Linked DNA regions of Pelodiscus sinensis. The protein of the gene in region 1 purifies or fractionates together with the protein of each later gene. This does not show direct contact. Links are inferred from orthologs where the notes say so. Each region holds a gene or a part of one and is shown on either strand. Other genes may lie near its edges. The genes, in order: RRM1 and RRM2B.

Evidence for each region.
Region 2: the proteins of RRM1 (region 1) and RRM2B purify together in Homo sapiens (affinity purification with western blotting; 3 studies listed by BioGRID and IntAct, counting the BioPlex papers as one, with this or other methods). This does not show direct contact. The link is inferred for Pelodiscus sinensis from reciprocal best matches to the Homo sapiens genes RRM1 and RRM2B.

Annotation. Positions count from the first base shown.
Region 1 is NC_134711.1:326,121,469-326,136,559, forward strand, and holds the start of RRM1 (ribonucleoside-diphosphate reductase large subunit), read left to right. Parts: upstream 1-9,130; 5' UTR 9,131-9,266; coding exon 9,267-9,285; intron 9,286-9,643; exon of another isoform or gene 9,644-9,663; intron 9,664-10,329; coding exon 10,330-10,418; intron 10,419-13,468; coding exon 13,469-13,646; intron 13,647-14,359; coding exon 14,360-14,460; intron 14,461-15,010; coding exon 15,011-15,070; intron 15,071-15,091. UniProt on the Homo sapiens protein: Provides the precursors necessary for DNA synthesis. Catalyzes the biosynthesis of deoxyribonucleotides from the corresponding ribonucleotides.
Region 2 is NC_134712.1:34,419,551-34,434,624, reverse strand, and holds the start of RRM2B (ribonucleoside-diphosphate reductase subunit M2 B), read right to left. Parts: upstream 6,793-15,074; 5' UTR 6,656-6,792; coding exon 6,602-6,655; intron 6,554-6,601; exon of another isoform or gene 6,390-6,553; intron 2,022-6,389; coding exon 1,866-2,021; intron 1-1,865.

The DNA.
Region 1 (15,091 bases):
AACCTCTCTAGTTTGGCACTCTCTGGTCTGATAACATCCGTGGTCTGCCATGATTTTAGTTAGCCAGATGCCCACTTATCATGGGCATGTATCCGTGGTCCCATAAAGTTTGTTTATAGCCACCAGTCCTGGCTCTCAGTGTTCTGTGCTGTTAATTAGCTCTACTTTACCCCTATATGTCCAGAAAGCAGTGGAAGTGTTGGTAACACTGCTAGACAATATTGACTTTCCGTGGTTCGGCACATTCTCTGGTTCAGCACCAGTCAGGTACTGAGGGTGCCGGGCTAGAGAGGTTCAACCTGTACAACTACAGAACTCTCCTCATTGTGTCCTTCATAGGATAGGCAGTGAATGAGATAAGAGCTACTGGGTGAGACCTGCACTGCAAGCTGCACATCCTCCTAGCCACTTGGGTATTATGTATACACCCAGATAGGCAGGCATAAAAGGTTCCATGAAGGAGACATGGCATGCATTGAATGAGGTACATTGCCCATGCACACCACATCAACTGTCCATTAAGAAAACCCCACCTTTTTAAAATGTACACTTCTCTGCACGTGACTATGCACAACTTTAATCAACTGTGCGAGGCCTGGTGTATGCTTACAAGGCACACTACAGTCACCTACCTGCATTCCAAATGCTGGAGCTACTGAAATGCTGCAGGGCAGAGCTACACTAGAGAGTAGAGCATGAGGTGGCCATGGGAAAGCAGATGGCACTGCAGAACAGGTCTGATTACATCCATCAATTATTTGTTGTCTCTCCTCTTCTCTCATTTTTTTTCCTGTTGAAGTAAAATGGAAACAAAGTTTAGAATAAAAATTGAGAAGTCCTGGGCCTCAGCTCCTGACAGCTTCTGCTCTCTCTGGGTTGATGCAGTGACCCCAAAGATTTGCTTGCTGGTGCAAATGCAAATTAGAAATAAATCTCACATTTTGAACAGTGGGAGTGATTAACCACCAGAACAAACTACCTTTGGAAATGATGGATTCCCCATCTCTTGATGTCTCCACATCTCATTGCAACTCTCATTTTTGTATAGTGTTAGCTTTTCTCTTTGAGTTTTAATTTTTTATTTTAATTCCCTCAGCACAAATGAATTTCTGGATTGTTTTTCATTTTGAATCAGTGACCTCTAGTGATTGGTTTGGTTAATTACAAGAGTATTATAATGTTTCATTCTCAGAGGCGCTGAGCAGCTGCAATGCCAGCTGAAGTCAAAGAGAGCCGCAGGTGCTCAGCACCTCTGGAAAGCTGGTCCCTATCCTCTAGATCATGGGTTCCCAAACTGGGGGGGGCATGAAGAAATTCTGGGGGGGAGGGGCGAGGCGACCAAGCCTCCCCCATTAGCCTCCCTCCCAAGTTTTGCTGCTATTTTTGTTTTTTGGTCCCAGTCCAGTCATTTCCTTTTTTTTTCCTCAACAAGTTTTGCTGCTATTGGGGGTGGGGAGGGAGGGCGTGAGGGTTTCTCAAAAATCCAAAAGGGGGCATGAAGCCGAAAAGAAGTTTGGGAACCACTGCTCTAGATGCATGCAGAGCAGATAAAACCTCAGATATTTATTAAGGCTTGGAAGGCCAGGATTTTAATTAGTAAATGTTGGTAAGCGTCAATTTCACCATACAGGCACAAATTGATTAAACAAGTTACAAATAGGTAAAGTCTGAAAAATACTGCTTGAAAATTTAGTAGAACTTGACTGCAGGATAGCTACTTTGTATACTTTGACGTGTTGTTGACAATTTGTATTCAACTATAAAGCTGTAACTTTTGAATCTCAATATCTATTATCATTAAATAGCTACCACCCTCCCCCCATTGTTTGATGACCACATAGTTTTCATATTTAAATGGATAAAAAAGCTGAACCCCATAGTGTTGTCTGTCTGCTAAAATTAAACGGATAAACATAAAAACGCTTAAAATTTAAACATTAAAACTGTATTTAAAAAAATCAAATTCTGCCAAAGTCTAGTTATTATGGTCTTGTACAGTAAAGTCTCTGGAACTCATTTTATTTGAGGGTTGAGCCACAGTGCCAGGATTTCAAACAGTGACCTCACAGAACATGGGTGTTTCAAAGCCAAGTTTTAACCCTTTTAGCTATTGTCTTCTCTAGCCTATGGGTAGCCCAGGGTTTGCCTGCGTTATACTTACAGCACTTCCCACAGAAATGAATGCCCTGGAAGAATAATCACTGCATCACTAGTAGGGGATGAAGGTGCTGCATTATGCTCATTGTGAGACAGGACATGTAAGGATATCTCAAGGGAGGGGGAGGGGAAACACTGATAATGCAGAACATGGAAAAGGGATTGATTCTGTTTTCAGTACAAGTAGGACCTCTGCCCCCTCCGAGTTAAAGTCTCCAGGGGAGGCAAGGAGCCAGCAGAGTACTGCAGGTTCAGCAGCATCTCCACCCGCTGGGAAAAGCCACAGGCCAGGAGTAGCAACAACAGTGTTGGGTGTGACACACGGTTCCGCCAACCTCGCAATCTGAAAGAGCTTATGACTCGTTAACTTTCAGTCTCTTGCTCAAAAATGTGGTGGGACTCTAGTGCTGGTGAAAAGTGCCAGCCTGGCAGCCTCTGGAGAGAAACAGCCTTTTCTCATCCACAGCTTCTCCAGTACCATCCCTGCCTGGGCAGAAGCAGTGAGGAGGTAGCTTTAGTCTTCAGCAGAGCAATTGGTGGTTTCTATCATGTAAATGCCTGAATGTTTGGGACTGGATTGAGACCATCACCTCCTTTTGACAAAACCAATTATCAGACAATAACTACCATTGGAACAGGACTATGAAGGGTGATATAGCCATGAAAGGCTCTGGATCTTATCAAATCTCTGGCTCCTGCCAGTCACTCATCTCTCTGCTCTTGTTTTTATCTCTCTTCCACACCACACTTTGCAGTGAATATCAATATCTGATCTCTCCTATGCCCCTGCTTCCCTACCACAAGCAACCCCCTGCCCCTTTACTGCCAAAGCTAGAACACCATGAACATTTCTCTCTGTGCCTGCTGGGCATACATACATTTCAGAAGCATTTCAGGAGCTCTGCAGAAATCTCACACAGTTCTGTCTCTGGACACTGCAGTTTCCAACCTTTTTTTAGTGGAGCAAAATCCTGAAGAGCAGGGTGTCCATATCATCCAAGTCTAGTCCCAGCACCTATGGTTGGGAGACTGTAAAATGTAGAAAAAGGAACACATCAGAATACAACTAATAAAACATAAATAAGTTTCCTCTGAAAAACATGTTCATCCAAAAGCCCCCGGCACAGAATCTCCCATTCAGCTGTGCATCTTAATTACTTTTCTGCCTCCCATTTTGCTGGCATACATACACCACCTTCTCTGTAGTGTAAGGACAACCTAAACAGAGTCCAGGAGAAAAAAAGGAAGCGGGCCATGCAAACTTGTTTTGTGGGAGGGAAATGAAGCAAGAGAGAGACCTGCCTTAGGCTACTGTAGTAACTTCCACTTGGTAGCATCTTTCATAGCAGGGTTACAATTACATGTCTGCCCAAAGGCCAAACCCTTGTGAGAAGAGCCATTGAAGTCTGGTGAGTAAAGCAAGCAGGATTTGATTGGCTCTCCCACTCCCAAAGTAGCTGTAGCCTGATTCCTCAGCACTCTGTGCCCTATGTAGTCATTTCTTCTCGTGAAAAATGCTGCCAAATGAATGGTAGAATTTTACACCCATTTTGCACATGTATAAGGGCCACTGATTTCCACAGCAAAACTTGATCATTCTAAACAGTCCCATTGCAGGTTCTTAAGTGTTTTGCTAACAGAACTGGATATAAATATGTGCTTTCCTGGATCAGGGACTAAATAAATAAGCTGTAGAGAATCAGGAACCTACACTTCCTTCCTTCTTCTTACTGGCCAAGGCTTGAATGTTTATAAAACGGTATAGTAAAATAGAATTTCCAGTGAGATCTGTCAGAAGTGAGGGCATGAAGGCTCTGTATATCTTCTGGTCATGTTGCATATGTTCTGTTTGTTGGAAGAAATACATTCTTACTATTGATCTCCATTCTAGACCACCTCCCCCGTGGTCATTATCCAAATCCCTTGAGTTCAAGTGAGAATGGAGCGCTACAGAAAGAGCCTGATTTCAATTGTTCACATGGCCAGACTGTATCTGAAGGGTTGGCAAGTAGAAAGAGCCTGTTGAGACTGAACCAGAGGTGAAAGCAAGGGGGTGCGCAGCTTTGGCAAGAGCTGGCTGAGCTGTGGCAAAAGCCAACAGGGAGCTATTGAAAGAGCTGGCAGGGATCCGGGTTGCAATAGGACAGGATCTGTAAGAAATTTTAAGTTACTTTCACCGCTGGACTGAACACATTTCACTCTGGAAATCAGTAAGTGAATAACTATGGTGTCTGCTCATACAGAGGCTCTCTCTTGCCTGTAGCTGTCCTACCAAGGAAGGGGTAACACGACATTTCCAGTAAGCCGGCTCTTTGTTGCTTAATTTCCTTCCAAAATCATCTCAGAGAGTGCAGCTTTTCAAACGTTTATCTTTCTGATCTACCCGCAGTCACACCCCATTAGGAGAAGTCTGGTTTCCTCTGTCACAGTTTAACCCACCGGGTGCTTGTCAAATTCTAGTAAAATAAATCAGTCTTGCCCATGGCTGTAAGACACTCAAAGAAGGCCCAATAAAACAACAGGGAGGAAGATCAGTGAACATAGCACGGGCTCCAGCTGAACCAGCCTGTTCTCCCCTCCGCAAACCTTTCTGACACATACTATTTTATAGCACTGCAGACTATGGGACCTGATCTGCTCTGGTTTTGAATTAATTCCAAGAAATTCCCTCTTTGCATGCTTGATGCTAGGGCACTCCAGACTTGCAACCTTGTGCAGCCTTTCTTAGTGACTCTCACAAACTCAGCAGGGTTCCCGTTAAATGGGAGACCTGAGAAGAGTATCCCAGTGCTAGGTAATCAGTAGTGAGCCATTTGTGCTCAGAGTCACTGTTGAACTGATGCCCCAATGCACAGCGAAGGAAAACAAATTTTTTTGGAAGAAATGACTGAGGTTCCAACATTAACGCTCCTGGGCAATGTTTGTTAGAACCGTGGTGATAGTCCCACTATCCCTGCCAAATTATAACTTAGATTACATTCTGCTTGCCTAATTTTCCCTGCATTAGGGCATTCTCAGCCTCCGAAGCAGCTGCTGCTTCCCCCCCCCAGAGGTGGCTGCCTTTCAAAGGCAGAAGAAGTGATTTCTGTACAGAATTAGTAAAAAGCATGTTGTCTTCTGGAGGTACGGTGCGGCATAAGGCAAATATTATGTATTGGGCCAATCCCTGCTATTGTGAGTGGGGTGTAACTCTGTGACCTTACATTCAGAATAAATACCGGTGGGACCTCCCTGGTCCAGCACCCTTGGGACTTCAGCACTCCCGAACCAGGAGTTTGTCAGACCAGGGGAGGTCAAAGTTCTCCTGCTGGCCCTACTCTCAGGCTCCCTCCGGCTGTGGGGCTCCCCAGGTTGGGGCTCCCCATCCTGCCACTGGCTGTGCCAGGGCTCCCCACCCTGCTGCCAGAGCCACTGTCACCAGGGGTTCTCAGTCAGCCCTGCTGCTGCCAGGCTCCCAGGCCATCACCAAGCTAGCTGTCACTGGCCCAGCTGGGGCTCCCCAGCCACCACGGGACTCCCAGCTGGCTCCCGCTCCCAGTCTGCAGGGCTCTTTGGTCCAGCAATATCCATGCTCATGCCAGACTATAGGTGTTGGCGGACCAGAGTGCCGGATTTGAGAGGTTAAACCTGCATAAAGAAGCCATTGTAAACAGATAACCAAAACAGTTCAGCAGCTTCCACCTCAAACACTGGCCCTTGTCTCCAGCCAAAACAAAGCCACCATAGCAAATCAAAATGCAGCTGCAAAAATCTTTCTCCCATGCTGCTGCTTCTGCATGAAAGGAGCACACTGTGAAAAACTGTAAAGCAACCACATTGTCCTCTTCTAAATCTCTTATTAAAACCAACCAACACTGGAGTGTCTACTAACTGCTTAGTAATGGGCTGCTGAAGCTCTGTGACTGCTGCTAAGTATGTAGTCCTTATACATAATCATAACAGCCTCATTAATTGCATGAGCCCCCTCCAGCTGTTGGTTTATTTTAAACTGTCCATCTTATTATTAGATCTATTCTACACTTCAGATGTACACTGACATATCTACATTGCTCAGGGAGCTGAAAAATCTGCACACCTGCATAATGCAGCTATGTAGGTATTCAGGCCTATTGCCAGGTATAGACACAGCTAGGTGCTGCCCTCGCTCAGGTGCTAGCAATGGAAAGAAAACCCTTATATCACTGTCGGCTGTGTCTACACTACAGGTGGGCAAACCAGGTTGTATGTGTGGCAAGACATTTTGTTTACTAAACTTAAAATACAACAAATGGTCTGGTGGCACTTTATAGACTAACAAAACATGTAGATGGGATCATGAGCTTTCGTGGGCACAGCCCATTTCTTCAGATGACTGGAGTTTGTTTACTGTGACTGCTGGTTTTCGCCCATGTAGTTTTTTTTCTACCAGTACAGGGGGACCTCCCTAGTCCAGCACCCTCAGGACCTGAGTGGTCCAAACTACTGTACAGGGTTTGCCAGACCAGGGGAGCTCAGGGCTCCCTACCTAGCTGTAGGCTCTGCTACCGGCAGGAGCTGCACTCCCTGCTTGGTCCTGCTGCCTCCAGCCCCTACTGAGGTTGCACACCCCCACCATGCCACTCTGACTTGGGCTGGGCTCCCCACTGCGCCGGCCCCGCTGAGGCTGCACTCCCCCCTGCCAGCCTAGCCCAGCATAGGCATCGCATGAAAAGCCAGCTGGGGAAGGCAAGCCTCAGCCCTGCCCCCTTCAGACCACTCCCAGCTTGATCCTTCTGGGCCATGTGGAGAGCCACAGCTGCCATGCTGCAGCTCCGGCCCGGCTCTCCTTGGTGGGCAGGGAAAGCCGGGCTGCGTCTCCTGACGGTGGCCCCAGCCTTATTTTGGGAAGGCTCTGCCTTCCATTGCCTACATTACTGATCGCCCATGCGGCCCAGGCTGCGCTGCTGAACCTGGCCAGCAAGGGCTCTCTGGTCCAGCAATATCCATAGTCCTGCCGGACGATGGATGTTACTGGTTCAGAGTCCCGGATTTTAGAGATTCAACTCAAGTGACACGCATGTAAAGCAAGGGCACATGAAGTGAGGTGCATTCTGATTTCACACAATATTGACCGTGAGAGCCGTGTGCTCCCTCTGCCTATCACAGTGCCACTACAGTTCAATTGGTACATCCTACAAATTCTAGGAATGAAAGTTCAATTAGCAAAACTACCCTATGTTGGCTACAACAATCTTGCAGCCCACTGAGATGGAGGGCCACTTCATGCAGCCCACTCACTAGCCTAGGTCCCCCATCACTGATCTACACCATGAGGTTATGTCAACATAGCTGCAGCCTGTACCTCTGCTTTTATAGTCCTTATACTATAGACATGGCCTTATATAATAAAGGATAATTTGTTTGTTATATGCATGCACAACACCTAATATCCAGGGTTGCTCATACTTGATCAGTGGCAGACAGAGGCAGATCACTTCAACAGGTACTAGCCTAATACAAATGATGAATAATAATACAGGTAGTATCTTTCTGGGAAAGTGGATGGTAGAAAAAATAGTCTAATGATGCCATCTACTGGGGAAGTGGGAAATTGCTTTATGCTGGATACATTTACAGATTCAAAATAGGACAAAATAAAAAACTGAGCTATTTTTGCTCTGTCGCCGGTTCCCCCAGGTGGACACTTTAGTCCCAGACAAGAGCGACTTTATTCCAGAATAATTATGCACTTTGGAAACAATTATTTGGGAGTAATTACTCTGGAATTAAACCACTTGTGTTCAAGAACAGAATGTCCACATGGGCGGGGAGGATTATTCCAGATGACCTCAATCAGAGTGGAAGGATGACTAAGGCTGTCATGTGAAGTCAGTTTCCTTCCATAGACAAGTCTGGGCAGGGAGGGGGAATACTTTGACAGCAGCATGACTAGCCGAAGCAGGGCCTCCCCTACCACTGCGCAGCCAGGTAGCCCCCAATTTCTCGGCTCCACAGCGATTTACCTCAGTACTGGAGCCCCGCCGAGTGGGGACCCACCGTGGCGCTTCAGTTTTCCTGCATGAGGAGTCCTTCGCCCAAGGGAGCGGGCACTAACCCAGCCCCACCTTTGGGCTGTTCAAACGGCTTGAGAGCTGAGGGCCTGGCCCAAGGGGAGAGATGTCCCCCATGTGACCCCCCCATGTAGGATTCTCCCTCTTCCACTGCGTGTTCCCCCAACATGAAGGCGTCTCCCCTTTCCCATCCCCATGTGTCCCCCCACGAAGGAGTCTCCCCTTCCCCTCCCCCCATGTCCCCCCCACGAAGGAGTCTCCCCTTCCCCTATGTCCCTCCCACGAAGGAGTCTCCCCTTCCCCTATGTCCCTCCCACGAAGGAGTCTCCCCCTCATGTCCCCCCCACGAAGGAGTCTCCCCTTCCCCTCCCCCTCATGTCCCCCCCACGAAGGAGTCTCCCCTTCCCCTCCCCCTCATGTCCCCCCCACGAAGGAGTCTCCCCTTCCCCTCCCCCCCATGTCCCCCCCACGAAGGAGTCTCCCCCCCATGTCCCCCCCACGAAGGAGTCTCCCCTTCCCCTTCCCCCATGTCCCCCCCACGAAGGAGTCTCCCCTTCCCCTCCCCCTCATGTCCCCCCCACGAAGGAGTCTCCCCTTCCCCTCCCCCCATGTCCCCCCCACGAAGGAGTCTCCCCTTCCCCCCCCACGAAGGAGTCTCCCCCCACATGGCAGCCCCGCCCCGCCCCAGGCGGGAAGCAGCCCGCTCCCCCCACAGCCGGTCATCGGAAGGGCGGGGGAGGCGGGATCTCGGCCGCCATCTTGGACCCGGGCAAGCCGCCCTTGCCCCCCGTGGTTCCCTTTGCCCCTGTGCCGCGTAGCCGGGGAGCAGGGCGAGGAGGGAGGGGCGAGCTGCCGGGCAAGCACCAGGGAGGCGATGGGGTCCCGGGCCCGGGCAGAAGAGCCCGCGGCGGGTCGGGGCCGCTGCCCGCACTCAAGATGGCGGCCGCGGCGTGGGGAGGGGGCGGGGCGGTACGGCGGCGCGGCGGGGTCAGGCCGGCGCTTGGCGGGCGCGGGAAGCTCGTAGGCCGCGTCTGGAGCTCCCGGAGCGTTGAGCGCGAGCGCCCGGCCCCAGCCGCCGCCATGCACGTCATCAAGCGAGGTGAGAGCCCCCCCACTCGGGGGCAGGGGCAGCAGCCCCGGCTCCCTACTGGGGGGGGCGCTCAGCGGGTCCGACCCCCCCCCCTCGGGGCTGCCCCTGCTGAGCGAGTTCCCCGCGCGTCTCCTCTCTGCGGGGGGAGGACCCCGCCTGGGGGGACCCCTACCCACAGTGCCATTCCCGCCCCTCCGCCTGGGGGGGCCAGCTGGCACTGCGCCCCCGGGTGCATGCCCCCCCCCCCCCGCCCTGCCTTGGCACAGGGCTGCAAAATCCCCTTTCACGGGTTCATCGGTTAACCAATGAACGGATCAGGCTGGAACCGGCCCGTTAACCTGTTAACCCGGTTAGGGTTAACCACCGGCTGCAGGCTCCGGTTAACCGGTAAGGATGCTGGTAAGGGATATGCTCCCGGTTAACCTGTTAACCCGGTTAGGGTTAACCACCGGCTGCAGGCTCCGGTTAACCGGTAAGGATGCTGGTAAGGGATACGCTCCCGGTTAACCTGTTAACCCGGTTAGGGTTAACCGCCGGCTGCAGGCTCCGGTTAACCGGTAAGGATGCTGGTAAGGGATATGCTCCCGGTTAACCTGTAACGTCCCTGCTTTGTATTCCTGCTACTTCCATAGCTGGCACCACGCTCCCCTGGAGGACCGGACCCCTGTCGCCTCCGACTCACCGCCCGGAGCATTTCGATCCCCACCGATCCCCGGTTTCTGGAATGGGGATCCCCACAGGCGGCATGAATATTCCCCTCTGGCTGGATTCTTCTGGTGCTGCTCACAGAGCGGCGGAGCAGAGTCCCTGGAGTGCTGGGGAGGGCACAGAGATACCTTGACAGCCATAGGTGGCCCCCCCAAAGGCCCCTCTCAAAGGGTCCCCCCCAAAGGCCCCTCTCAAAGGGTCCCCCCAAAGACCCCTCTCAAAGACACTCCCCCCCAAAGACCCCCTTCAAAGACTCCTGCTACATGTGGCTGTCTGTGTAATTCATGCTGCTCTCTATAAAGGCCTGACTCTCTGTCTCTCCTTTCCTCCCCCAACACCTGGTAGATGGGCGCCATGAGCGCGTCATGTTTGACAAGATCACTTCTCGGATCCAGAAGCTCTGCTATGGACTCAATGCCGACTTCGTTGATCCTGTGAGTTGTTTTGTACCCTCTCCACTTTCCCCCAGTCCTCCGTGGTGACCATTTGTGATCAGGTGCCTCTCAGTTATTTCCCCTTCATTCTAAAGGGAGGTGTTTGTATTCCCCATACCCCTATTGTGAACTCTTGGCAACTGCTGCTTTTTTAATGGTAACCATTGTGTTTTTCTTTTCTGTGTACAGTAGAACCTTTGTTGTGAACACCTAAGGAATGTTTGTAACTTTGGACAAAATGTTATGGTTGTTCTTTAGAAAGTTTACAACTGATTATTGAATACAGCTTTCAGACTTTAATAAGCAGAAGAAAAAAAATCCATTTTCCTTTTTTAAAAAAAATAGTTTACATTTAACACAGAACTGTACTGTATTTATTTGCTTTTTTTGAGGGAAGGGGGAGGAGGGGCATAGGGGAGCTGTCTCTGCTGCTGCCTGATTACATACTTCTGGCTCCAAGTGACACATGTGGTTGATTGTTCAGTTTGCAACTACTGTAACTTGATTCTTTAAAAAAACAATGAGTGGTCCTGTGGCACCTTAGAGACTAACAAAAATGTATAGGGTTACGAGCTTTTGTGAGTAAAACCCACTTCATCAGATGAGTTGGAGTGGAAATAACAGAATCAAAGATATAAATATATAAAAACAGCAAAAGCAGTTACCTGTCAATTGTAGGATCTGTGTTAATGATGCTAATTAAATGGGCTGGATGTGTCCCCTTCATAGCATTTGATGTGAAAATGTGAATGTCAAAGGTGGGGAAATTGGCTCTATAGTGCATTAACCAGTTAATATCGTTATTCAAGCCCAGGTTAACAGTGCCATATTTGTGAATGATGCTGTCATGGCTCCTTCCCCACTCTGGCACGATAAATGCAGAATTGGCGGCCAGCAAAAGTACTCCAAAATCTTATCTACCAGGCTTTGGTATAAAATCCCCCCCCCCCCCCCCCAAATCTTAACAACTTAGATGTCGGGGATAAATTCTCTGCTGCCACCACCCAAATATTAATAAAGCAACCAAGGAGAGACTACTTGGGATATCTCACCCCTAAAGTACAAACCAGGACACAAAAATTAACTAATACCAGGTTAATAAAAAGAAACGAGAGAGAACTTATATTATCACCACAATATTTCTGTTGCAAGTATAATGATTAGATGGAATAGTAACAATATAATATACTCACGGAGGAGAAATTTACCATGGGCCAGGAACTTAGTTACAAAGGAGAGCAAAACCCATTTTTAAATGCACAGACCTGATCTCATTTCCCAAACCATAAAACAATAAAATCTAACGGATTTATCTAAACTTTATCCTACTTACAGACTGTGAAGAGTATTTTCTTAGAGGGAGACATCCTGTCCCCTTCAATAGCTGGGGAGAAAACTCCCAGAGACAAAGGAGGGAAACCCAAAAATTCCTTTGTCCCAGTTTGAAATTCCTACCTACATTTCTATTGGCTAACTCTACCTGAGTTAGGTATAGTTAATCCCTTAGTCCCCAGGCTGCTGGCTAACCTCATGATCGTGATAGATGCTTAGAATGCTATCAGTGCAATAGAAATATGTAGTATATTTCTCAGCCCTGGGTCTCAAATAGCTTTACAAAGAGGCAGTAGAATCATTATCCCTGTTTTACAGTTGGGGAAAGTGATGCCCAGAGAGGTGTAGCAAAGCAAGGAATCTGATCTAGGTCTCTGAATCCCTAGTGTAACATCCTGGTGACTGGGCTAATAATCAGGGCTCGACAATTAAGGCAATCTACTCGCCCGTGGTGAGTAGATTTTAGCCCGGCGCGGTCTGTGCATGCGCAGCGTGTGGTTCCGTGCAGCTGGCGAGTGGGGCTCACCGCCGCTTAGCAAGCCTTGCTAATAATAATAAAGTTAGTTTTACATGACAGACCATTATTGTTTCTATTGCTTCAATGCTTGAGTTGCATTTATGGGCCAGGATGCCTTAGTGCTAGGTGCTGTACAAACAGGACAAAAACTGTCCCTGTCCCATAGAGCTTGCAATTTAAGACCAGTGTTTGAAAATGACAGTCTGACATACCCAGTTGCATGTGAATGTTTCAAATGCATGTCAAAATTGCCATATTAGATAAGACCCAAGATCCTCTTGGTTCAGTACCCAGTTTCTGACAGTGACCAGTACCAGTTGGCTTAGAGGAAGGTGCAGGAAACACCCTAATGGGTAGATGTGAGAGATTGGTTTAAGCCCTGAAACATGAGGTTTTTATTTCAGATGTAACAAGTAAGCATCACTGTTACCAGCTGGAGCAGCCCCCACCCATAGCACTGTGCAGCGGGCCCAGCCCAAGCAGCTCATGGCGAGGCGGTACCAACTAGGCTGTGGGATCCTGGTTAAGCATTATATTTAACTGATTAAATGGGATTTTACATTCCTAGTTTTAATATCCCTTTCCAAACTCTCTTAGCATTAACTATTTGTAATTTAACAAATTAGATGCTTGATCAGGCATGTGAAAAGTCAATGCTGTTTGGAGTTTGAAAATTCCTGAGCAAGTTCTGGATTGGATGTGGCATTTCAGCTTTTGCACTACCGCTTCAACAGGGCACATTAACATTTAGCAAGTTAACTGCATACAAAAACTTGTGCCTGATTGGATAATTCCTGATGAGTCATTTCTGTACTACTCCCTGTTCCCTTTCTCCAAACTATCACTAAGGTTGTAACATTAAAGCCTGGTGCTTTCCCTCCATCAAGGCAGCTCAGTCTAAATCACTTTATCATCTGCTGGTTAAAGTGAGAACAATGAGAAGTCCTGTGGCACCTTATGCTCCAATAAATCTATTAGTCTATAAGGTGCCACAGGACTTCTGTTCTTGCAGATTCAGACTAACACGGCTACCCCTTTGATACTTGTTTAAAGTGAAACACTTATTGTAATAACTTTTCTTGCAAAGAGAAAATATGATGCCAGGTGTTGGGAAAATGTGGTTCGACTAGGCTGTTGCTGTTGAGGATGGTGTTGTCACGGTAACATAGGTAGTTAACCTGCTGAATTCGGCTTTCCCCAGGCTCAGATCACCATGAAGGTAATCCAGGGTCTATACAGTGGTGTCACCACAGTGGAGCTGGATACACTGGCTGCTGAGACAGCTGCAACCCTCACTACCAAACACCCCGACTATGCCATCCTAGCCGCAAGGATTGCGGTCTCCAACTTGCACAAAGAAACCAAGAAAGTGTTCAGTGGTGAGTGTGTCTATGGGCATTTGTGCTCCGCTGTTAAGGAGGGAGCCAGCATGGGGCTTGGAGCCTTACGAAACAGAACTGTGGTAATCTTGTTCCTAAACAGGAGCAATTAAGTATCGAGCCCATGTATCTGAGGCATTCAGTTCTTTCGACTTCGCCACAAAGGCTTGGCATGCTGTGCAAACTCTGAGAGCCTGTGTATGTAGTTTTGCACGTATTATAGAGAAAGCTTAGTTATCTTTCTTGTTAGAAGTGTTCCTATAAATAGTTTCTACTGGAGCATTTCACAGTTAAAATATGGATGTCCTAACTTTCTCTTTCATTCCTACAATAGAAATAGTTATGTGAGGATGACAAAGTAACTTGAAAGTTCATTCTCTTTAGCCTAGACCCATCTAGGTAGTCAACTTTATAGGGACTAGGTTTATCTGGCATCTGACTGACTTCTACTAGATACGTTGTATTCCTAGAATTTCTTTCATAAAAGCAAATTATTTTGGGGTATAAGTTCTGAGTAATAGATATTCTCTGGGATTGGACAGGTAGGAGAACAACCAGACCTGTATTTTTGAAGACACTCGATGTGGGCTAGATTTTGGGAGAAGTGGAGTAGTCCAGGCATGTTAAATTTGTGTAATTATAGTTTTCAGACCTGGTAAATAAGTCTTGTAAATTACTTTCCCTTGACTCTTTTTTTTCCATTTCCTTTGTAGATGTCATGGAAGATTTGTACAACTATGTAAACCCTCATAATGGCAGACACTCCCCAATGATCGCCAAAGAAACGCTAGACATTGTTTTAGCCAACAAAGATGTATGTAGCACTTCATGGGATCTTAGTTTACTGGATCTTAGGAACTTATATTCAGTGATATTTTAAACTTCTAAATAAGAAAGTACACTATGTTGGTTGTCAAGACCCCCCCCCCAAAAGTCTTACTGGTGTAAACTAACACCTACTGACTGCTCTATTTTGGGGAGCTGTTTGTGACGGGACAGCAACATTTAGAATTCTGACCTCTGAAGGATATTTCTGATGTTGTTATATTAAGGACATCTATCTTGGAGTGTCTGAGGCCCATTGGTAGTGGGATAAAGAGTGGCTCTTAATAAAATTACAATCTCCTAATTTATGCTGTAGAGAACAGTCTTTCAAGGAGGGAGATGAGGTTTGATATGTGTCTTAAGTCACTCCAATTTCATATACTCATGGAGTGTTGAGGCCACAAGAATGAAAACCAGAGGCACTGAACATTTAGAGCGCTGTTGTTTTTGTAATATGAAGCTGTGTGGATCTGATGTTAGGGGTAGATGGTCTCCTCAGTCTAAGCGCTTAACCTGTCTCTGAATTGTTTCATCCCCAGCGCCTGAACTCTTCCATCATCTACGATAGAGATTTCTCCTACAACTACTTCGGTTTTAAGGTAATAACCAGATCTCTTGTG
Region 2 (15,074 bases), on another chromosome or scaffold:
AGTTTCAAGCAGAGTGCCCCGAGGGTTGGTTCTAGGGCTGGTTTTGTTCAACATTTTTATTAATGACCTGGATGAGGGTCATGGATTACACCCTCAGCAAGTTTGCAGATGACACAAAACTAGGGGGAGAGGTAGATATGCTGGAGGGTAGGAATAGGGTCCAGCGTGACCTAGCCAAATTGGAGGATTGGGCCAAAAGAAACCTGATGAGGTTCAACAAGGACAAGTGCAGAATCTTACATTTGGGATGGAAAAATCCCAAGCACTGTTACAGGCTGGGGACCGACTGGCTAAGCAGCAGTTTGGCAGAAAAGGTCCTGGGATTACAGTAGATGAGAAGCTGGATAGGAGTCAACAGTGTGCTTTCATAGCCAAGAAAGCTAACGGCATATTAGTGTGCATTAGAAGGAGAATTGCCAGCAGATCTAGAGAAGTGATTATTCCCCTTTATTTGGCACTGGTAAGGCCACATTTGGCGTATTGTGTCCAATTCTGGGCCCCGGACTACAGAAACAATATGGATGCATTGGAGATGGTCCAGTGGAGGGCAACGAAGATAATTAGGGGGCCGGAGCACAAGACCTATGAGGAGAAGCTGAGAGATTTGGGCTTGTTTAGTCTGCAGAAGAGAATCTTTAACTACCTATAGGGAAATTCCAAAGAGGATGGAGGCTGTGCTCAATAGTGACAGATAACAGCATGCGAAGCAATGGTCTCAAGTTACAGTGGGGGAAGGTCTAGGTTGGATATTAGGGAAAACTATTTCACTAATAGGACGGTGAAGCACTGGAATGGATTACCTAGGGAGGTCTTGGAATCTCCATCTCTAGAGGTTTAGGTCCCAGCTTGACAAAGCCTTGCCTGGAATGATTTAGCTGGGGTTGGTCCTGCTTTGGGTAGGGGGTTAGATTCAATGACCTCCCGAAGTCTCTTCCAGCCCATGACTTGCACACTATGCCTCTGTTAATGAATACTTAAATTCCATTGCTTTTGTGTAAGAGTATCACATTTATGACTTATGTCGAGGCCAGGAGTGGCCTGAGGCCGGCTGCAGCAGCTGGTGCCCCAGGCAGGCGGCGCAATTGACGCTCCCACCTGTATGGCCATGACGCCATCATCAGGTGCCTGGGCCAGCAGTGCTCTAGGCAACTGCCTAGTTCGCCTAGGCTCCCGGGCCGCCCCTGGTCAAGGCTGTGATCCACCACACCTTTCAGATGCTTCTCTGCAGCACTGCTGCCATGCCCATTTTCCACCATATAGTATTTATGATTTTGTTTTTTCTTCCCCAAGTGCAGCACCTTACATTTGCCTTTCTTGAATTTCATTTTGTTGTTTATAGCAGTTTTCCAATCAAGATACTTCTGAATTTTAGCTCTATCCTCAAAAGTATTGGCAACCCCACAACTTTGTGTCATCTGCAAACTTCATCAGCATGTTCTCTCTACCTATATCCACATCATTAATACAGATGTTCAACAATTGACCCAAAACAGTTCCCTGTGAACCCTACCTGAATCACTTAAATCTCTGTTCTTTACTTTTAAACTCATTCTTGTTTTAGTACAATATCAGTGAAAGTAAAGTGTGAGTCTTCAGCTCAACTAACAGGCTAGTGTGTACGCTGTCTCTTTGGAGGCAAAGAACTTAATAATTTGTGACCATCGCAGTGAGACATTTCTAGGGTTCACTGACCATTAATTGCATGGTTTAGATCAGCAGAGTCTCAAGGAACTTGCTGGTGAAGTGGACCGACTGGAATGGCAGGAAGCTGACAGTCTAATCTCCAACAAGGATCACTCTTGCTGGACCAGAGATCATACAGTGGCTTACGGTTCTGGGTGTTCTGATCAGAACATCACACTCACCTCTTCTACTGTCCAGAATGAAGCTTGTGCCTTTTTATACATTTTCCACAAATCCGGGTATTGCAGTGGGAAGATGACAAATCGACGAGGATTTTTTCTGAGAAGAGGTTCTTCATTTGATTTAAAGTCATTTTCAATTGCACATGAAGAGAAACCCTTAAGAAAAAGCATGTTATATCAGAAGATTATTCTCCAATTGTAACTCCACCACTTAGCTTAATTATTTTAAAAAGTAAGATAAAAAAAATCCTTAGAATGAAACCACTGAGACATGCACATGCCTGAACCAAGTAACTGAAGGATCCTCTCCTGTAACTCTTGCTCTTCCGTCTGCCATCCCTACTATTTACTGCCATTGCTTGTTCTTTCTGCCCAGCTCTACCTAGAATAATTTTGGGTGCAGTAAATTAATAACAGTACCAGACGTTTCTCTCATTCTAGAGGCAGCAAGAAGGGGGAGGGGTCTTGCGTGAAACTATGAAGGTTAACCAATGAGCCCCGGTCCATCAGTTAATCATTTACATGAATGCATCACATCCCTATTGTGTACCTTCCACTACTCTGATTTCATCTTAGCTGGATGTCATCCTTCTGTTTAAATCTGTGGTATCCATCCAGTTCTGAAGCAGTAGCCAATATAGCAGCTACAGCTATAGTGAATTAGCCACATTATTCTGAAAATGTAAATAATAGAGTGGCTACTGCTATAGCCAAATAGCTACATGTGGCAAGTGGCAAGCATGTTGGAAACCATGGATTTAAATGATGATGGGCAGCCAGCAGTGCCCGTTTGATATCAGGCAGTAGTGAGTTCATACTCCCAGATTCATTCACATTACAACAGTCATACACTCTAGTGCTACAGATTTGTCTGCCTTTTTTGGAGAGCTGCACATCCAATTCTAGCTGAAAAAGAGTAATCAGAATGCAAACATCTACAAGACATCATCAGAGCAAATGACTGCAAGGAGCACCCAAGAGTTGGTTCAACTGCCACATCAAAGCAAAGGAGCTCTAACATAAGTACTTAAAGACAAAAAGGGACAACAGGACCACTAGTAATAGTTATATCACCTTGCCAATACTATGAGCATTGGATACCCAGATAGTTTGGATATTATATAAGAACCCCATATAGACAGCTATCCTGGAGCTGCTGTGGTGGAAAGCATATCCAAGAAATATTACATAGTATAAGATAATAAAGCTGTAGGAGGAATGTAAATTATTGTGTTAAATGGAGCTAGGAACCCCTTTCTGACTCCTCAACCTTTAAACTCTACCACGTCTCCACTCAAAATTAGGGATGTTAAAAAGAATTTGAGGTAAACATGTAACCGCTGACAATTTCAGCTACATCACAAGGTAACATCCTCCAGCATAAGAACAGCCTTCAGGAGCGCAAGTGCAATTGCTATTCTACCCCTCGCTATCTTCTGCCCATCCACTCCACAATTCCCCACCCTCTCAGCTTTGGCTCAGAGGGCCTATACAAGAGGGAAGTAACCTGGAAAATGATGGAAGAGATCTCAAGGCAAACCACTGAGTGGGAAAAGACATTCCAAAACTGTGGGAACAGTAATATTTTATCACCATTGACATGGAGATTAGCATCGGGACAATAAATACCCATACCACCTGGAAGGTTATGACCTGGGCACTAGGGGTATTATCTGAAAAATGCAGTCATGTTTCCAAAGGAGGAAAAAAAAGACAAAAGGTGAAATATTCATGGAAGCAGTGATTTCATCCCAGCAAATGACCAAAAGACAGAAGGGCAAAGGGAGTAGAAAAGTAGCACATGGCCCTGCAAAATTTCACAATACAGACAGAAACAGCTTTGTTGGAGCACCTTTTGTTACAAACGTCAAGCACAGGACATTACAACCCAGACTTGTAATGTCCTGTATGGTATGGGGAACACACCATAATTTCAAATTGCAAATCCTACTAACTAGGGATGTTAGATATCACATAACTGAATAGTCATGTAACTGCATGAAATCTTAGTGGTTACACGACTATTCGATAGTCCCCAGGGGCGGAGCTGGCAGCCAGTGTGCTCTTGGTACCACTCCCAGGGTGACAAGTGGAGCCAGTCCATGAGGGGAGCCAGTTTAAAAAACTAGCTCCCTGCGCATACCAGCTGTCTGCCACCCCACACTGCTGCTTCTGATGCAAAAGCAACAGCATGGAGTGGCAGTGGCCCCTGTCCATGGGAAGGGGTCTGAGTTCTCCATGGACAGAGGCTGCTGCCATGAAGCCGCCTCTGCTTATGGCAGGCCAAGGCTTGCCACAGACAGAGACTCGGGCCCACCACTGACAGAGACTGCTTCATAGCAACCTCCCCTGGCCATACCCTCTGACAGAGGCAGCAGTACAGAGGGAAGAGGGCAGGAGACACTGCAGAGCCAGTGCTGAGGAGGACTGACTTTTAAGCTAGCTCCCCCCCAGCACCAGCTCCTGCTTGGCAAAAGCAAAGATATTTACTCTCTTGATTAAATGCGATAACAAAGCAGTCTTACATTTCCAGAGGGCCAAACTGGACAGTCTCTAGGAAAATAATTAATGGACACAAATCTGATATCTGAAAAGGCAACACACAAAAACCTGCTGGGGAACATTTTAGCTTGCCACAGCACTCATTAATGGATCTCAAAGTTACCATATTGTTTCATGCCAATTCCACAAGCTAACTCCACAGGGAAGCCTTAAAACTTAACTTCATTTATAAGTTTGATTCCTGTCACAGAAGTATGAATAAAGATACTGGCTGGATTGTCCACTATATTCCACATCTTAATGACATAAAAAAACCAAATAATGGGTATTCAAGACCAATCAGCACCTTCTCTGTAAGCTTCATGTAGCATGGACACTAATGACTATTTCTTCCCCCCTTTTTTCCCCCGTTCTTTTTCCTTCTCTCCCCCAATCTTCTATTTATTTAGAAACTGGACCTTTAATAACTCCACTCATCTGAAGAAATGGGTTGGGCCCACGAAAGTTCATTATACCATCTACATGTTTTGTTAGTCTCTAATGTGCTGCAAAACTATTTGTTGTTTTTTAAGTACATTCTCTTTCCCCTTAGCTTTCCTTTTCTTCTCTCAGCCCTTTGGACAGAATGTCAAAGACAAACTTATCAAATATCAAAGAGATTCCTTGGATAGGTAATCTCCCTGTCTTATGTATAAGTATCTCATCATGCCAATAAGCCTACTTATGAAATTAGATACGTTTTGCATACCTTGCCTGCTCTTCCATTTCTCCAGAAATGTTAATGGTAGAACTACCTGTTGATACAGCTCCACATACCAGTGGGTTCAGTGATACTACTACAAGTGTAGACAGGACATGCTGTATCTCCTAGATCTGCTCTATGATTCTTGGACTTTGAAAGTATTTGCCTGTCCACTACAATATCATGCCTCCCCACCCCAAAAGATTCTTATAGATAATTTTTCTTCTAAAGCGTCCTCTGTATTCCTCCTCAGTCAATTCAGGATTAGGGATATAAGCAACTTGCCGATTAGGAACCATCTTTTAAACTGGCTCCCCTCAGCACCATCTCTACAGGGAGTCAGGGGAGGCAGAGGTGCAGCAGAGAACCCATGCTAGCGGGTACCAAAGCTGTCTCACTGGCGCAGGGTCCCCACTGTTACTCTTGTACATTTCAAAGGCAGAGGCACAGCAGAGCGCCCCCCCTTAGCAACTAATCGAGTAGACGAGGACTACTCAATTAGCTGATTAACTGACATTTAACATTCCTATTCAGGATTATAATTCTATCTTTGGAAAAAGCTTCCTGTTTTTCCCAAACCATATGAAGTTATGTAAATATGTATAAGCACAATAGTTGCCTCATGAGAGCCTATTTTTTAATTTTATTTTCCAACAAAAAAAAATGATCTGCCCTTTCCGGAGGCTGCCCTCCCATTAGTCTCTCTGTATGTCCATGTTGTTGCATAGTACTATTCCTGGCTGAAGATTGTCAGTCACACACGCCTATTTTTTTTTTAAGATACTGAGAATCTATCATTTCTGTACTGTAACTCATTCCCAGTCCAGTCAAGAGTATAGAAGAAATACTCTGCAATCCCCTCTTTCCTTCTCTAGGAGAATCAAGTGAATTTGATTAGATCAAGTGAACAGAAAACTACGTGGGAAGGTCTGAAGGTAGCCAAGCATAAACCAAGTAACTAGCAATGCTTGGGACATGACAAGGATCACAGCCCCCAGGCGCTGCAGGGAGCGAGGGGATCCCAGCACTATGCGGGGGTGGGGAGGGAGGGGAGGAAAGGCAACGCGCAGCCCAGCTAGGGGGTCCCAGCTGGGCTCGGGGAGGGGTAGGAAACCCGGTGGGGGAACAGGGCAGAGGGGCGGGCAGCAAGGAGGCTAGAAGGGCCCCCCCCCCGCCTTCTGGTTCCCACGGCCCAGCTGTTCTTCGCCACCGCACCAGGATCGCGTGGCCCCGGGAACTGGGGCTTCACAGAGCCGAGGAGCCCCTCCCCCCCCCCGCACCTGAGCACCCGCGACAGTCGCTGACCCGTTAGCCCCAGCGGCCTCCGCTCCTCACACACGCTGGGAAGAGACCGCGGCGAGCACCTGCCGCGCCGCCCTCCCGCGCTAGGCCCGACCCCACCGCTCAGGGGTCACGCGCCCGAGCCTCCTCCCCAGGCCGCTAGCGGCCACAGGCAGCGCGAGCCAGCGGGGCCCGCCCCCGCAGCACTTACCCGCCCCGGCATAGCGACCTCCTGCGGCGGAGCGCGAGCGGGCCGCTCGCTCATGGCGCGCGCGCGGCAGCGCCACTAGCCGGCAGCACGCGCTCACTCAGCGCTGCGTCGCCCCTGGGACGTTACAAACGGCGCGGGTGGTCTGCGGCTACGGAGCATGCGCGTTCCGACTGCGCGTGCTCGGTGACCTCGGCTGAAGCCGCTGCCCGACCCGGGCTGCCCGCGGGGGCGGGGCCGCGGCGTGAAGGCGGGAGCTACGGTGGCGGCAAATATCGGGCGCGGGGTTCCGCGCAGCCTCACTGCCCGTGGGCAAGGAGCGGCCAGGGGAGTCCGCGATGTATTTTACACCCGCGCGCTCTCCTGCCTGAGCCGGCTGCGCTGTTGAGCTGGACTTGGCCTAGCGGGGACCCCTGGCTGCAGCGGCGGCAGGTTTGTATCATTTTTGGTGGTGCCCCGTTAGCCACACCCCTCCCCCCCCCCTTAGCCAGGCCTCTGGAGGTAACATGCTCAGGGCAAGATGGACACCGGACCAGAAGTAAAAGGTGTCATGTGACCCCACTCGAAGGGCTTTTCCCACCATCCTCCTACACACAGGGATTAGTTTGCCCCTCCCCCAACCCCTCCCCCCCCCCCCATGCAACTATCCTGCAGTTGCATTAACCCAATGTGTGTGACATTAACTCGGGGGCAGAGCGCTGGGGGACGTGTTCCCTCTAAGGCTGTGTCTACACTCACAGCTTCTTGTGCAAGACCCCACAGAGCAGCCACACTGCCCGCCTGCTCTTGTGCAAGGAAATGTACAGTACGGCGTGGTAAGAGAAGGCGTCTTGCGCAAGAGCTACGCTCTTTCCTAACAGGTGTAAGCTCTCTTGCACAAGAGGGCAGTGTGGATGCTCAGCGGGGATTTCTTGTGCCAGAAAACAGGGTTACTTACCTATAACTGTTGTTCTTCAAGAAGTGTTGCTTATGTCCATTCAAACGAGGTGCATGCGCACCACGTGCACGGTTCCTGGAGCATTTTTTCTCCAGTGGTACCCGTCGGGGCAGCAGGTCGCCCCCTGGAGTGGCGCCACTATAGCAGAGCATAAGGTACCCCTGCTAGCCCTCCCCCTCCTCAGTTCCTTCTTGCCGGAAACTCTGACGCGGGGGCGGGGGGGGGGAATCAAATGGACATGAGCAACACATCTTGAAGAACAACAGTTACAGGTAATTAACCCTGTTTTCTTCTTCGAGTGATTGCTCATGTCCATTCAAACGAGGTGACTACCAAGCTACCCCTTCCTCGGAGGCTGGGTCAGAGTCACCCTGCTGAACACCCACACCGACATTCATTGACAACAAGAACTTTAATGCAGAACTATAACAGAACTCAACACGAAACTCGACAGAGAGATGCAGCAGGTGCATGACACGCTGTGTGCCACTCAACCACCCCCCTTTGCTTTGTTTACAGGAAAGAACCCAACACAGCCGCACCCACGGCAGAGTCCTCCCGCACCTGCTGGGTGAGAGCATAGTGCTCTGTAAACGTATGGGCCAAGGACCACAGAGCTGCCCTACAGATCTCAAGGATTGGAACGTGGGCCCCAAAGGCTACGGATGAGGCGTGTCCCCTGGTGGAATGCGCCGACACACGAGGCGGCTCCCTAGGCGCCAGAGCATAACACTCCCTAATGCAGGATGATATCCACCCCGACAGCCTCTGGGCTGAAACCAGCATCCCTTTCACCCAATCAGCATAGGCAATAAACAACTGAGAAGTCTTGTGAAACGGCTTGGTTCTGTCTATATAAAACGCCAGTGCCCTTTTCACGGCAAGGGAGTGCAAAGCCCGCTCCCTAGGGGAGCTGTGGTGCTTGGGAAAGAAAAACCGGGCGGTATATGTCTTGTGACGTATGAAAGGCCGACGCCACCTTGGGTGGGGATGCAGACGAACTGTGTCTGCGAACACTAAGTATGGGGGCTCCACGTCAGGGCACGCAGTTCAGAAACCCGATGTGCTGACATAATGGCGACTATAAAAGCCACCTTTAGCGACAGAAACCTAAGAGAGCAGGATGCCAGGGGTTCGAAGGGGGGACCCAGAGCTTATTTAGCACCAGGTTGTGGGCCCAGTGCAGCATCAGGGCCCTTACATGGGGAATCAGTTTATCCAAGCCCTTCAGGAACCTCTTCACCAGGGAGTCAGTGAACAGAGACCCGTCCCCTGATCCCTCGTGAAACACCATTAGGGATGCCAAATGCACCCTCACTGACGGAGCGGACAGGCCCGCCTGTTGCAGCCCAAGTAGTTAATCCAAAATCAGGAGGACAGGAGCCAAAATCAGGAGGACAGGAGGGGCAAACACCCTTACCCTGAGCCCAGGCTGAGAAACTTCCATTTGGCGGCATATGATCGCCTGGTGGCCGGCTTCCGACTGCCTAGGAGGATCTCTTGCACCCCCCTAGAACAGACCCTCTCGGGGGACTTCAGCCATGGATAAGCCATGCCGTCAGGTGGAGGGACTGTACATCCGGGTGGTACAGGATGCCCTCTTCCCCCCCGCCCCCACTCCTCCGTCCTGAGTAACTAGGTCCGGAGTCAGCAGCAGACGACAAGGGCGGGCCACCACCATTTCCCACAGGATGGGATACCAAAACTGCCTGGGCCAATCTGGGGCTATCAGGATCACCCGAGACCTTGGTCCTGGTAAGCACCCTGGGAACTAGCGGGAATGGGGGAAACATGTAAAGCAAGCCTAGAGGTCAGGGCGTCCCCTCTCGAGCCCTCTCCCAGGCCCAGAGGGGAAAAGTAATGGGGACATTTCATGTTCCCCTCGGTAGCAAAAAGATCCAGTAGGGGACGACCCCACATCCAGAAGAGGTGCGCCACCACCTCCCACTTCAAGCACCACTCGTGGACTCTGAAGGACCTGCTCAGTGAGTCTGCTAACGTATTCACGCACCCCGGCAAGTATGCCGCCTGTAACTGGATGCGGTGGACTATGCAGGATTCCCACAGGAGAGCCGCCTCCTGACACAGCGGGGATGATCGGACTCCCCCCTGCTTGTTTATGTAGAAAACAGACGCGGTATTGTCCAGCAGCACAGACACCGGTTTCCCCGAGAGCACAGTCAGGAAGACTTTGTGGGCCCTCCTGACTGCCCTCAATTCCCGGACATTTATATGCAACCCCCTCTCCTGGGGGGTCCACAACCCCTGTGTCCTGCGGCACTGCAAGTGTGCCCCCCAACCATTGTCAGAAGCACCCGTGATGAGTTGGGCCGATGGCAGTTCTGCACGGTAGGGGACTCCTGAACACACCTTGCTCTCCAATGTCCGCCAACTGAGCGAGGCGAGGACTCCCTCCGGCACTGTAAGGATCCAGTCTCAACTGTCTCTGGCCTGGTTGAACGACCCCACCAACCACGCCTGCAGCGGCCTGAGCCTCAGTCTGGTGTGCCTGACAACATAGGTGCAGGCTGCCATATGGCCCAGCAGTCTCATGCACGACCGTGCCGTCGTCAGCGGCGACTGCCGCAGGGCAGACACCAGGGTCTTTATGGCCTGGAACCTGGATAGTGGGAGGTAAGTGCACCCTGTCTTGGCAGACAGGGCTGCCCCCATGAACTCTATGTTCTGGGTAGGGGTAAGTTTCGACTTTTCCTCGTTCACTGCAAGACTCAGTCTGTCGAAAAGGGACTGTACCAACCCTATCTGCGAGAGGACCTGTTTTTTTGAGCAGCCTCTGAAAAGCCAGTCGTCCAAATATGGAAAAACCTGGACTACCATCTGCCTGAGATAGGCTGCCACCACCGCCAGACACTTCGTAAACACCCTGGGGGCCGTCGACAGCCCAAAGGGGAGGACTGTAAACTGGAAGTGTTGGTAGGATACCACAAACTGGAGGAACCTCCTGTGGTTCGCCCGAATTGACACATGAAAGTAGGCGTCCTTTAAAATCGAAGGCCGCATTCCAATCACCCTTGTCCAGTACTGGAATAATTGAGGCCAGGGTTACCATCCAGAACTTTTCCCTTTTTATGTGCATGTTGAGGGCCCTGAGGTCTAGGATGGGCCGAAGCCCTGCCTTTGGCTTTGGGATAATAAAATAATGGGAATAGTATCCCCTGCCCTCCTGATGGGGAGGGACCCTTTCCACCGCCCCTTTCTCTAGGAGAGTGAGGACCTCCTGCTCTAGGAGGGCCTCGTGAGATGGGTCCCCAAAGAGGGACGTGGAAGGGAGAAGGGAAGAGTAAGGGCCCAGGAAGGGAATAGAGTAGCCCTGAGACACAATGTCCAGCACCCACTTGTCTGAGGTGACAACCAACCAGGCCTAGGCAAAGTGGGACAGCCTGTCTCCAAAAGGGGGGGAGATAATGGCCATCAGTATGCGGTCCCCTAGCGCACCCTCAAAACTGCTGCTTGGGAAGAGAGGGAGGGGGCTGAGTGGGGCCCCTGCCTGCCTCCTGTCACGGCCGGCGGCGCCTGTGGCGAGCCCCCAGACCCTGCCCCTGGGTAAAACCCCCGGACGGACCACGTGGTCTACTCTGCCAATAGTCAGGCCGTGCGGCTTGTGGAGGGCCCCTATGTGGCTGCTGATACGGTAACAGCCTACGTTGGGGGGCCGGGGTGTGGATACCCAATGACTGAAGAGTCGACCTGGTATCCTTTAGGCTAAGAAGCCTGGAGTCAGTATTCTCTGCCAACAGGGCTTTCCTGTCGAACGGCAGGTCCTGGATTGTGGTCTGTAAGTCTAACGGGATCCCCGAGACCTGCAGGCAGATGCTGCACCTCATTACCATGCCCGACTCCATCGTCCTGGCCGCAGAGTCGACAGCATCCAGAGATGCCTGCAGGGCAGTGCGAGCAATCATTCTGCCCTTTGTGGCCAGGGCGGAGAACTCCTGTCTGTCCTCCGGGGGCAATCTGTCACAGAACCGGTCCATCACTAGCCAGGTGTTCTAGGCGTAGCGACTGAGCATGGCCTGCTGGTTGGCAATACGCAGCTGCACCCCCCCTGTCGCGTAAACCTTGCGCCCCATCAGATCCAAACACGTAGGTTCTTTAGCCTTAGGGGATGGGCCCGGCTGCCCCTGCCCCTCCTGGGCAGCTGCCTGGGCCACCATAGATTCCAGTACGGGATGCGAATAGAGGTGCTCATGCCCCGACTGGGGGACACAGTACCTCCTCTCGAGCCCTTTGAGCATCGGGGAGATAGAGGCCGGCATCTGCCACAGCGTACTGGTGATCTTTGCCACCTTCTTATTGAGTGGCAGTGCTAACTTCGCCGGAGCATCATCTGTCCACCATCGGATCTGACTCCTCGGTCACAGGCTCCACCGTGTTACCAGATTTGCCCAATACCTTGGGGTATGCTCATTTATCAGGGTTACCCTTATGGGACTGGGGGAAGGTTGACAGTTCTATCAGTGTGCTGTTGGTGCTTACTTGGGCTCTCATATGGAGCTGAATTCTCCCTGCTGCCAATTCCCCCTCCCACTGGAGCTCTCCTGCAGGAACTAGGTTCCTCAGGATGGGGTTCTTCCCACCTTAGCAACACACACAGACACTCACACCCACTAATCAAAGCACGTCTGAGAGGACTGGGTACTCAGCACTCACAAGCTGACCCCCTCATATGTCCCTGGACTCAGCTGGCTGGGTTTCACAGCAATGCCACACTGCACCCTCATGTGCCTTTGGACTCCGTGGGCTGGATTAAACAGCACTTTAAGCTGCCATCCTCATAAGCCCCCAGGTTCAGCACCCCTTATCCCCACTTTCACACCACAGTCATTCACAGGTAAACCACACGATGAGCAAACCCCACAGGATTTTGGGCACTCCAGGGATCTTTTGCTTGGGTACAAGAAGCGTTGTTGCAGAGCGAATGGGGAAGCCAAAACAACACCCCTTAAGGAAGAGTGAGCAAAAGAGAAAGAAAGAGAGAGAAGCAACCAGCTTAACAATGAAAGTGATTTATTTCTGAGTAGTGAATAGATATCAAACAGTTACAATATTAAATCTAACAATTACAATATTAAATCTAAATTGAAGCTGCTTACAAATGTTAGGTAACCATATAACAGTTTACACAGGGCAGGGTCAGGAGGCTATGCTTAGAGAGATAGGAGAGAGAGAGAGAGAGAGAGAGAGAGACCTCACCACTCCACGGAGCTTGCACTGATCGGGGTTCCCAGATGATGATGGTAGCCGGGGGTCCAGAGGGCAGGAGAAAAGCAGGACAGAGCCCCCAGCACGATCAGACAGGAGATGAAGAAGTCTCAATGGAACTGATGCAGTTTAAGTCCAGGTATCAGAACAGTTTTCTTGGGGCAAGGATAGGAGTTTTATAGAGATAGTTCAAAGAGAAAGAGGAGAGACAATAGAGACTGATCACCCCTGGTTATGGGTGATGTTCCTTGAACGAGCTCACAATGCAACTTGGCAGTTTCAGTATTTTAGATGTCAATAGGGTCGTTACTAGAATTGGTCTGATAATGACTAATTTGGGTGTGAGCAGGCTTAGGTTCATTAGCATCTGGAGCAGGGATTTCCCATCAGGCAGTGCTTCTCTGCTTTCGGTGTCCCATAGTTCAGTGCGGTTCCTGCCTTGGAAGAGCTGCTCTCCATTCTGTATGCTAATGAGATGTCCCTCTGTTCCATCTTTAATGTAAATGAGGCTGGGGTGTTTCCTTAATTGTATCACCCTTGTCTGAAGCAGTTTAGGTGTGTCTTCCCTGGCCTTTTCTTTGCTTTGTCTTTGATTCTAGCAGAGGCCTGAGGGAGGGGAATGGTTTTCCATGAGTGTCACTCCCTGACTCCCCAAGAGCACAAGGCTGACAGGTGACCATGTTCTGGTTCCCCAATAATCACAGAGCTGGTGGGTAACAAGTGGGACCCCAAGATTTGTGGCCAGCCGGCACAGCAGCTCTTGGTGGGATCTAGCATCCATGGCTGGCATAGCCAGGGCCGGGTCAGCCAGGGCCTCATCAGGGGACAATGAAGATGTCAACTCGTGACTCAGGACCGGCTGCTCCACCACACCCTGGATGGGGGCTGGTTGTTGCGGCCTCCCGGGCTGCTGTTGGGCCCCTGCCCTCGGGTCACCGGGGTCCAGGTGGCCCCTGGGGCTAGCCCCTTTAGGTGAGGGTGGGGCTCTGGAAAGGGAGGCCAAGGGCGCGGACCTCTGCCGCGAGCCACTGACAGACCCCGAAGGGAGGAGTGATCCCTGCTACTGGTGATAAGCCCAGGGTGTCCAAAAGGGCCAGGGCTGTTGGACCTGCGGCAGCCATGTCTACTCAAATCCCTGTGGTGCCATTGGGTGCCGGGAATGGGATCGGTACTGGGACGACAACCGCAAAGATCCCACAGAACGCAGGAACTCTGCCTCGGACTCCGAAGACAGTTCGGACGCCGACCATGGCAGTGCCAACGAAGGCTGACCCTGTACCGCTCCCGGGCAGAACCTCGTCATCAACTCCGGCTTCCCTGCGTGGGGACGGAGCTGCAGGGGACGGAGCTGCGGGTGTGGCGGCAGTGGCACCGGGCCACACGCTGCTTGCGGTGCCAGTAGAGCCGGAGCCTGTGGTGCCTACAGGTACGGTGCCGGCGGCACCTGCAACATCGGAAGGGCTTGCGGTGCCGGCACGGGCAGAGCCAACAAGGCTGGTACTTGGGGCCACAGGGTGCATGGGTGCCGGCAGTGAAGCCTCCCAGATCGGCTGGGCAGGAGACTGCGGCACAGTCTGCCCTCGTACCACTGTGGCCGGCAGCGATAGACGGTCCCTCGACTCTACCGGTGCCGGCCGGAGCTCCGAGGCCCGGGAGACCAACAACCATTACCGTCACGTAAAAAAACTGAGGAGGGGGAGAGCCGGCAGGGTACTTATGCTCCGCTATAGCAGTGCCACTCCAGGGGGCAACCTGCCAGCCCGACGGGTGCCACTGGGGAAAAAATGCTCCAGGAACTGTGCACGCAGCGCGCATGCACCTCATTTGAATGGACATGAGCAATCACTCGAAGAAGAAACCCCTATGACTAAAATGGCCATCGGAGCTTTCTTGGGCTAGAGAGTGTCCACACTGCCATGGATGCTTTTGTACAAAAGCACAGCTCGCACATGGCAGTGTGGACGTGTTCCTGCACAAGAAACCGCCAGTGTAGACACAGGCTAAGAGTTTCCTCCCATAAGCAAAATGAATTTTGTGTTGTGCACCAGTACTGAGTTCATGTGGCTTGTTTGGATGTGCCACTGTGGCACCCAAGTTATTAATAAATATCTTATAAACCTCTACCTTTTCCCTCTGCTGCCATGTCTCCCCTTGCTTCATCAGCTCCCCTGGTGCCTGCTGCCCCCAACCTCCCACCCTCCTCTGCTGTCCTGACTCCTGCCTTTCTCACTGCTGTCAGCCTTCCTGAGACCTGCCCCCCCCACTCGCCCTTCTCTCTCCCCGTGCCCACTCCTCCAGTAGCCCCACTCTGATCGT